2 linked regions of the Canis lupus familiaris genome follow. The protein of the gene in region 2 binds, or shares a complex with, the protein of the main gene of each other region. Links are inferred from orthologs where the notes say so. Each region holds a gene or a part of one and is shown on either strand. Other genes may lie near its edges.

Region 1 (4,867 bases), on a different chromosome or scaffold from region 2:
ACTCTGTGCTGCTGGCTCTGGTGGGCGGCGTGGGCGAGAGTTTCCTTTGAGTTTACCTGTCAGCATCATGGGGATGAGCTGTGTGCACAGCACACATTCTCTCTGGACCCGGATCCAATGAAATGGTGCAAGACTGGCTTTAATGGAGGTTTTTGCAAGCTTTTTTTCACTGCTGCTGTATATTTTTATATAGTAATGATGTTGGGGACAAGCCCCCTGCTTCACTTACAGTTGCTGGGCCTCCAAGCCAAAGAGCTTCCCAGGGAGTGAACAGCTCAAGAATAAAGTACTGTCTACTCTTAACGCTTGACACCAAAGTTCCAAAAAAGAGCCAGGGTCTTTTGACTGACCCAGAACCTGGGGGCTAGTAGAATGTTGGCCTTTGTCCTCTCTCTTGCCCATGACCTGCTGGGTCTGCAGACTGACACTCATGGACAGAAAGCAAGAGGACCCCTCTGAGCCTCCATCCTTTTGGTGAGGGAGGAATAATGCTTCTCCCTTCTCCAGTGACAGGTGTGTGTTGAGGCAGTCCCTTCTCCAGCCTCGTCTATTCTTTTTTTTAAAGATATTATTTTTTTGACAGCAAGTGAGAGAGCGAGAGCAAGTGAGAGTGTACAAGTAGGCAGAGTGGGAGGGAGGGGAGAAGCAGGCTTCCCCACCGAGCAGGGAGCCTGACATGGGGCTCCATCCCAGGATCCTGGGATCATGACCTGAGCCAAAGGCAGAGGCTTAACTGACTGAGCCACCCAGGCAACCCCAGCCTTGTCTGTTCTTTACTCTGAAGGAGACAGCCTCCTCCTTAGGAGAAGGGGATCTGGGCTTCCTTAGCTGCTGGGCACGCCCTGGATGGTCCTGAAGAGCCTCCTACAGAGGAAAGTGAACCAAGGTTTAAGGGCCCCAGGATGAGTGTTCACATGTGTGGGTCCCACAGGTCTTGAGATGGGTGGGCCCTTTGAGCAGTTCTGACTGGCACCTGTGTCCATCTACGAGTATCATCTTCATCTCCTGGCCTTGTCAGAGTTGACGAAATCCTGGACGGTTGGCCTGCCAGCCCTAGCTAGTGGTGTCTGTCGGGGTCGTCGTATTCTCACCCTCACAGTTTTGTGTCTTCCACAGGCCTTATTTTGAACTCAAGGCAAAGTACTACGTGCAGCTTGAGGTATGTGTGGCGTTCTTTGGCTTTGCTGTTGGCTTTTCTGCACTCAAAGCTCCACTTTTATGTGGTAGTGGACTTTCTACTGGCATATTGGTAGAAGAGGTGAATGGAGAGAGAAACACATTCTTTACTGAGTTTTCAGGACTCAAAATGGCCTTGGTTGGGTCTTCAGTGGCCTCTGAAGTGCTCTGAATCTTCTGCCCAGCCACTTTCTGTACTGTCCCCGGGCAGTGGCTCCTCGGGGCTCCTAGGACCAGTGTCGTCATCACCCGGGGAGTGTAGGTTCCTAAGCCCCACCCCAGACACAGACTGCAGGTGGAGCCCAGCCATCTGTGTTTTAAAAAGGCCTCCAGGGGATTCTAATGCAAGTTCGAGAACCCCAGTACGAGGGACCAAATGGCCAGAAAGTGGGACCGGTGTGAGTTAGACACCCCTTACTGTTTCTCTGGGGGCTTTATTCCGCCAGTGGTAGTTTCTGGTTCTTAGCTCGAGTTTGTCACCTGGATGGGGGTTGGGGCTGGTGGGGACTGCTGTTTTATCTGGTGTGTGGATAGCTAGATGAGAGAAATCAGGCCATCGGTCACATCTTGGGGAAGTTTGGAGTAGAGTGACGGGCAGAAAATGGGCTTGAACCTGTCATTCAAAAGCCTCTCCAGGCCGGGAGTGGCTGCCTCCACTTACTGAGCCTCCTCTTCTCCTGAGCAGCAACTGAAGAAGACTGTGGATGACCTGCAGGCCAAACTGGCCCTGGCGAAAGGCGAGTACAAGACGGCCTTGAAGAACCTGGAGATGATCTCCGACGAGATCCACGAGCGGCGGCGCTCCAGCGCCATGGGGCCCCGGGGCTGCGGCGTGGGGGCCGAGGGCAGCAGCACGTCGGTGGAGGACCTGTCAGGGAGCAAGCCTGAGCCAGATGCCGTTTCCGGTGAGTTGGGGGCTCCTGCGCAAGGGCGAGATGACGCCGTAGCTTGTGTGGTCTGCTTCCAGAGCTGTCTCGCCAGTATGGAAGCGCCTCAGAGTTGGCAGGCCGGAGACTTGGCTCTTTCTCATGGCTTCCCACATTTTGCGGGACACCGTATTCATCGAGGTGCTACTGAGTGTTCTCAGAGTCAGGCTTCTGTGGTGGATGAGTTTGGAAAATGTTACACTTTCACGCTCCCTGACATTCAGAGTATGTGTTAGAACATTCAGGGCTCTGAGCAGTACTGCGGGAAGGGAGAGTTGCCTAATAGGGCCCCGTGCACTTCGACTGGATTCAAATCCTGGCTCCCCCGTAGTACATGATGTGGGCAAGGGCTCAACTCTGTTTCTTTACCTGTAAAATACGGAGTATGAGTACCTGGTATCCACTGTGTAGAAGGGAGGTTAGAATTAAATGAAATAATGTAGGCACCCAGAAAGTCTGAAAATGGTGGCCCTCACTGGTATCGAACCGTGGAGACCTTTTTTCCCCCAGGGCGACCCCGTGGGAAACTGAGAGACAAATTTGGTGTGCCCCGCACTTTTATCATTTTACTTTTTTCACCATGATAAGTATACTCTTGAATTCCCATCCCCTATTTCCTCCATCCCTCTGCCCCCTCCCCTCTGGTAACCATCAATTCTCTGTAGTTAAGTCTGTTTGTTTGTTTTTTTGTCTTTTTCTTCATTTATTTCTTAAATTCCACATCTGAGTGAAATCATACGGTATTTGTCTTTGACTGATCTCGCTTAGCATTATACCCTTTTGCTCCATTCATGCCATTGCCAGTGGCAAGATTTCAATCTTTTTGATGGCTGAGTAATATTCTATACCCACCCCCCCATCCATTGGTGTAGACACTTGGGCTACTGATACCTTGGCTATTGTAAATAATGCTGCTATAAACATAGGGGTGCATGTATCCCTTTGAATTAGTTTTTGTATATTTCTGGGTAAATACCCAGTACTGCGCTTCCTGAATCATAGGATAGTTGTATTTTTAACTTTTTGAGGAAACTCCAGACTGTTTTCCACAAAGGCTGTGCCAGTTTGCATTCCCACTACAGTGCAGGAGGGTTCCTTTTTCTCCACAGCCTCACCAACACCTGTTTTCTTGTGTTTTTGATTTTAGCTATTCTGACAGGTGTGAGGTGATATCTCATTGTGGTTTTGATTTGCTTTTCCCTGATGATGAGTGATGTTGATCTTTAGGTGTCTGTTGGCCATCTGGATGCCTTTGGAGAGATGATGTCTGTGCATGTCTTCTGCCCATTTCTTAACTGGATTATTTGGGTTTTTTTGGGTGTGGGTTGACTTGTATAAATTCCCTTAATATTGGATATGTTTTCCTTCACTGTGCAGAAGCTCTTTGACGTAGTCCCAATAGTTTATTGCTTTCATTTTCCTTGCCTCAGGAGGCCTATCTCAAAAAATGCTGCTACGACTGATGTCAGAGACATTATTGCCTGTGTTCTTTTCTAGGATTTTTATGGTTTCAGGTCTCACATTTAGGTCTTTAATCCATTTTGAGTTTATTTTTGCGTATGGTGAAAGAAAATAGTTGTTTTCCCTTTAGATTAAGAAAACTTCCAGCACTGTCTTTGCACACTTCCTTCCGTTTTCTGTGGAATAATCCTTATTGGTGCTCTCAAGGAGGTCCTTCTGGAGTTTTAAAATTCAGTAAACAAATGTTTAAGCCAGGTCCAACGGAAAGGAAAATCTGATCATCAGTAATGTGTGAGGTACTCTACTACCCATCTTCTCATATGGAGGAGAACATGAAGCTCAGAGAGGCTGAGGAAGGCTACACAGCAATTAGTGGAGAACAGGATCTGAGTTCAGATATGAGCCTGTTTTCTGAGCTCAGCATTTCAGTAATTTTCATTTATGGTAGTCCTTTAGGGGATGCTACTGCTGTATCTCCCCCACCTCCCTCAACCACTGCTGTTTTTAAAGATAAGGGAGGAGGGAAAAAGAGAATAGGAAAGGTCTAAAAAGCAGGATTGTATGCAGGCTGAGGGGAAAACAGTGAAAGGTGAATGTGGCTTTCAAACCACAAGAATGATCTGTCCTCTGAACCTTGCTTATTCTGATCCACAAAATGAGGCCCAAGTTTAGAGCATTTTAAAGGAATTTTGTCCTTTTGCAGCAAATGGTGATATACTTTGTCTTTTATGTGATCAGAAGGTGCCTGGAAGATCACAGAATCCCAACAGTTACTCCACACAGGACCATTTCTTTTTGTAGCTCCTGCTTCTGCTGCATGGAAGCAGCTGTTACGGCTGACTGGCTTTGTTTAGTGTGCATCACAAAGGGCCACTCTCTTTCTGTACATGTGGATCTACCTGGGGACCTGGGGCGGAGAAAAGCCCCTGTTCTGGGGCAGATTCATCCTCCAACTTTAGGTAGTGTATTGAAGTAGTTGACACTGACTTCTAGGGTAGAAGTTAGGAGGTTATTTTAAGGACACGGGATATCCATGGGGTCCAACTGCTTCCCTTTGAAGTTGGCAGTCTGGCCATGCAGGCTTGGGAGGGTCAGGGTCCTTTTCTTAGGTGCCCACGGTGGCAAGGATTCTGTGGTCCCCAGGCCGCATCCAGCTGCCAGCCAGAAGTGCACACATCTAGAGGGGTTTCAGGAACTAGGTTGTTCTCCGTCAGAACCTACGACTGGTATTGTCTCTCCTCCTAGTGGCCTCCGAGGCCTTTGAAGATGATAACTGCAGCAACTTCGTGTCTGAAGATGACTCG
Region 2 (5,433 bases):
TAACTGTTGTTGATAACACCATATTGTATAGTTACAATTTGCTAAGAGAGTAGATCTTGAGTGTTCTTACCCATCCCCCCAAAGGTAAATATGATATGTGAGGTGACGACACAATAATTAACTTGACAAGGGGAATCTTTTCACAGTGTACATGTATACCAAATCATCACATTGTATACCTTAAATGTCTTACAGTTTTGTCTGTTATACTTTAATAAAGCTGAAAAAAATAAAAAGAATAGCCTTTTTAATGAAGATATGAATTGCTGCAAAGTGGAAAGAAGTCGAATTTCTAGACCAAAGTCAAATATAATCCATGATGTCATGACGCTTTGGTCATGTTTCTGAGGCACAGCAGCAAAGCAAGGATAAGGAATTGCTTTGTGCATGGATTGAAGTGTGGATAAACCTGGGGATGTCTAGCAAGAATAACTGTTTCTTTATCTCACAAATCAGCTTCTACTGTAATATTAAAAAAAAGTATTTTTTCTATTAGCATAGTTTTTCAAAAGTCAAATACTCTAATTAGATTTTTTAAGCTCTTGCTACCTGAGGAAACTGAAGCTTCTTTGGTATTATTTATAACTAGAACTCCACATCCCCCCTTTATTACTGTAAACTAAATCCACACTTTCAAAAAAATCTACCCAGGACATTGAAAAGCTGTGTAGAACTACTATTTTCTTTGAAGCAGATATTCTGCATTTAAAAAGTATGTTTTACCACACAAGGACATAATTTGGCTAGTTAGGGTGTTCTTAGTGAAAAAAAAAAAAAAGAATCTTTTTATAAGGTTAATAAAAGTTGGTTCAAAGTACATTTTCTGCCATTGAATTTTAGCAGTTGTCATCTGTCCACTAGGAAAATCTTTCAGCAGACCAATCTTATCTACTTTCTTTTAATGTGAATATAGTTGTTTTCTGAATGTTAAATTGACTTATAAGTGAAAAGATAATTAAAAGTGAATGCAACATGCCATTGTATATTTGTCAAAACTCATAGAACTGTACAATACAAAGAGCAAAATCTAATATAAACGATGGACTTTAATGGATAATAACATGTTATTATTATTTGGTTCATCAATTGTAACAAACTTACTATACTCATAAAACATGTTAATAATAGGGGAAACTGTTTTGAGGGGACAGCAGAGTATATGGGGATTCTTTGTACTTTTCTGCTCAGTTTTTCTGTAAACCTTGAATTGCTCTGAAATATAAAATCTATTAATTAAAAAGAAAAGTGATACAGAGATAGGTCCTTTCATCTTCTGTGACATCAATCACAAAGTTTACTGTCATTAGAAATCATTACTATTCTATTTTTTATTGAGGCATAATTGACATACATGCATTACATTACATTTATTTCAGATATACAATAAAATAATTTGACATCTGTATATATTAAAAAATGATCACCACAATAAGTCCAGCCAACATTTATCACTCAGCCTCATTGGACATGGAATGTTGTCCCTCTCTTAAATCTAGAGCTGCGGGCACCTCTGTATAGAATTTTTTTCTTGTGATAAGAACTTTTAAAGATCTGCTCTCTCTGCAACTCTCAAATATACAATGCAGTATCATTAACTGTAGTCACCATGCTATACATTACATCTCCATGATGTTTATTTTGTTACTGGAAGTTTATCCCTTTTGACTCCCTTCACCCATTTTACTCACTCCCCACACCACCTCTGGCAACCATCAATCTGTTCTCTGTATCTATGAGCTTGGCTTTTTCTTTTCTTTTTAGATTCCACATATAAGTGAGATCATGTGTTATTTATCTTTGTTTGCTGACTTATTTCACTAAGCATAATGCCCTGAAGGGCCATCCAGGTAGTTGTAAATGGCAAGATTTCATTCTGTTTTATGGTTGAATTATATATATATATATATATATATTTTGCAGTCCACTGATGGACACTGATGGTTTCCATATCTTGGCTGTTGTAAGCAATGTTACAATGAACACGAGGGTGCAGATATCTTTTCAAATTCGTTTTTTTTGCTTTCTTCAGATAAATACCTAGAAGTAGAATTGCTGGATCATATGAAGAACCATTAGTATCTTGAGTTCACCATCATGGCCGTGGTAAGCTATTGGCCTTGTGTTTCCCATCCAAACAATATAATAAAAGATATTAATTATAGATAAGCTGCATTTGAGAAATTATTTTAAGATATAAATTTTGACTCAATTTTGAGAAATTTTGTTTTTTTTAACTTCAAGTTTTCTCAGTGCTTTTAATTTAGTAATATGAAATATAACTTTCCAAAAGTGAGATGTTGAATGCAGCAACTCTGAAACTTTTAAATTATGAAATAGTTTTCCAAAGGACTAGAGATCCCCAAGTGGAAGCATCATGAAAAATACATGACAAACTCTCTGAGAAAAGCCATTATTATATATCTTGAAATGACAGTGAATCAACAATGACCCTCTGCATTCCCTTCATATGTATTCACTCACCCAGTTATACTGGTTTATCTTTCATAATTTGCTTGTGTTTACCAAACCATTTGCAACCTCTTGCCACCATATTAATTTATGACATAATAATCTAATTGTTGGAAGTGTTAGCTAGGTGACAGTCCTCTTTAGCAACCCCACTATTATAACTAATTCTTGACTTCTTTCTTTTGTAACTTTTGAAGCTGGGACCTTTAATTCTCATCTGAGGGTTCAAGTCCATTTTAGACTTTAGGCTAGGATGATCAACCTTCCAATTTTGCCTGGGACCAAGGGATTTCCTGGTATGGGGGACTTGCTAATCTGGGAAGTTTCTGGCAAATGGCGATGAGTAGGTAACCCTAGGACCAATTTTGATAAGAGATCTTAGTGCAGTAGTTAGTTTTACTGCTAAGCTCCCGTGAATGCACTTCGACTTGGATTCAGAAGTTGAATTCTTGCTCCAATTTCACTGACTTGATTCCTTCGTGTTTCCCTATTCCAGAGTCCCTTCCCATTTGCTGTTTGGAAAGCCAATTCATCAGTACCTTCATTTCCTCCAGAGAATTGAGTCCTAACACTGAATGATAGCTCCTACAGCAGAACCTAAGGATCTCCTTCTTGCCAGGCTTCTCTGAAAAATTGTTTTTTAATGTCCAAATTTTTATTTCTTGTTTTTAGATAAACCTCCATCAATTGTCTATTTCACTTTGGAGGGTTTGCTAGATCTATTAAGATCCTATTGACACCGATTCTGGCCTTTCCTTTTGCTGGGTTTGCTTGCATCTGCAAAATCAAGATTCAAGGTATGGTATCAGATTTGTAGGTTTAGGAACTCTAATTTATTGCTCATTCAGCACTTTTCTTCTTCTTGGGAACTGATTTACTATTATTTTTAAATTGTGACTCAATTTACATGGAGTTAAATGCACTAATTTTAGGAATTACACTTTGAGGAGTTCTGACAAATACTTACACCTATGTAATAACTTGCACCTCTATCAAGATATAGCACATCTTCTCACTACAGAAATTTCCCTCTTGCTCTCATCACAATCTTCAACTGTGTGGCTCCCCCAGGCAATCACAGTTCTGATTTCCATCACCATAGAACAATTTTTTACTTTATAAGTGGGTTTATAAAGTAAATGCTCTCTTTTGTCTCATTTTTTTCACTTAGCATAATGTTTTTGAGATTCATTGATGTTATTGCATGTTTCAGTATTCATTTTGAAAAGGTAATATCAAAAAGTTTTTATTTCTAAGTGAAAGGACATCTTCTTATTTAGAAAATAAGGAATATTCCTGCAAATCTTCAGTCCTACCTCAAACTATAAGCATGCTATAAAATAAAGATATTTGTATATAAGAAATACTAAATACAACTCTGTGTTTTTGAAAATAAAAACTTGTACTCATTTATTCACCTAAAACTCTTCTTTCAAAAGCCTTTATGACTGATAGTACTAATAGAATTCAGGTCAGACTTCTAGACTAAATAGTTTCATTTGAAAACACTAAAAATAGTTTAAAACAGGGGATCCCTGGGTGGCTCAGTGGTTTAGTGCCTGCCTTCGGCCCAGGGTGTGGTCCTGGAGTCCCAGGATCGAGTACCCACATCAGGCTTCTGCATGGAGCCTGCTTCTCCCTCTGCCTGTGTCTCTGCCTCTCTCTCTCTCTCTCTCTCTCTGTGTCTCATGAATAAATAAAATCTTAAAAAAAAGAGTTTAAAACAGTTAATGTTTAAATATTTAATATTATAACAGAAATTGCCTCCTTTAGTATTGGGTATTTCAAAACTTAACACTCCATAATAATATTTGAGATAAAAAGTTTGATAGCTGGTAAAAGAATGTTATAACCTTACTGATCACCTACTAAGTGTAAGAAAATATGACAGATTCCTGGAAAAGGGAAATTTCAGGGAAAACAATGAATAATAAAGAAGATTAAGTTACAGTCAAGTTTGAGGTAGGATATTGTATAGTTATAAAATTAGAGTAATACAACATATAGTTTGGTAAACACTAAATGAAAGGGAAGAGATACTTTCATGGGAGTTTATGTGGTGGGTACAACTATGCATAAATAGAGTGCCTGCCAAATACAATGGTGTCAATAGGTATCTATTGTTTTTCTTTTTCTGTCTTTGATTAAAATTGTATTTTGGGGAGGAAGGGAGGCTCTAAAACAGATTGTGTTGGGTTGAGGAATTGCAATGGAAGTTTACGTTAGGATCATCTTATTGAGGACACTAAGTAAATAGTTTTTATTTTATCCAGTCAGAAAGGGGATTTATTTAGCGTTGATTTTTTAAAAAGCCAACTTATATTAAATTATCTTATTTGAGGAAATTTTCTTATAGTGTATAGAATAGATTTAAAAGACCATTTGATCATCTAAATATTACTGAAATGAGTAGGTTGGGAATTAAAGCTCTAAATAGTAAAATCAACCTTTAAATCTAAAAGCAGTGTTGGAATCTATTTTTCTTTGTAAATTGTACCGTCAAGAATTAGTACCTGGGGCGCCTGGATGACTCAATGGTTGAGCATCTGCCTTTAGCTCAGGTAGTGATCCCAGGGTCCTTCCTTGGATGAGTCCCACATCGGGCTCCCCGTAGGGAGCCTGCTTCTCTTTCTGCCTATGTCTCTGCTTCTCTCTGTGTGTGTCTCATGAATAAATAAATAAAATCTTAAAAATAAAAAGAATTAGTACCTAATTGAAAAAAATGGTTGGTTTTAATCTATTCATAGTTGTCATTCTTTTTTATTGCTGAATAGTATACTATTATAGGAATATATCATAATTTGCTTATTCATTCTCCTGTTGAAACACTTTGAGTTGTTTCCAGTTTTTTCTTTTCTTTTTTTACCAATTACAAATAAAGTTGGCATACATTTTTATGTACAAGTTTGGTTTTGGTTTTTGTTTTTAGTGGAAATATGTTTCTATTCTCTTGAGTGACTATCT

What was found.
Region 1: the proteins of MAPK10 (region 2) and SH3BP5 are in contact, whole or in part, in a crystal structure (PDB 4H3B), measured with the Homo sapiens proteins. The link is inferred for Canis lupus familiaris from reciprocal best matches to the Homo sapiens genes MAPK10 and SH3BP5. Residues at the interface, in NP_620448.1 of Homo sapiens: Lys121, Asp150, Ala151, Gln155, Val156, Met159, Leu161, Glu164, Arg165, Tyr168, Tyr171, Val197, Lys198, Ser199, Asp200, Cys201, Trp362, Asp364, Glu367; in NP_004835.2 of Homo sapiens: Val341, Val342, Arg343, Pro344, Gly345, Ser346, Leu347, Asp348, Leu349, Pro350.

Annotation. Positions count from the first base shown.
Region 1 is NC_049244.1:27,840,520-27,845,386, forward strand, and holds part of SH3BP5 (SH3 domain-binding protein 5), read left to right. Parts: intron 1-1,116; coding exon 1,117-1,159; intron 1,160-1,861; coding exon 1,862-2,081; intron 2,082-4,808; coding exon 4,809-4,867. UniProt on the Homo sapiens protein: Functions as a guanine nucleotide exchange factor (GEF) with specificity for RAB11A and RAB25. Inhibits the auto- and transphosphorylation activity of BTK. Plays a negative regulatory role in BTK-related cytoplasmic signaling in B-cells.
Region 2 is NC_049253.1:30,096,278-30,101,710, forward strand, and holds the start of MAPK10 (mitogen-activated protein kinase 10), read left to right. Parts: upstream 1-2,040; 5' UTR 2,041-2,103; intron 2,104-3,141; 5' UTR 3,142-3,266; intron 3,267-5,433. UniProt on the Homo sapiens protein: Serine/threonine-protein kinase involved in various processes such as neuronal proliferation, differentiation, migration and programmed cell death.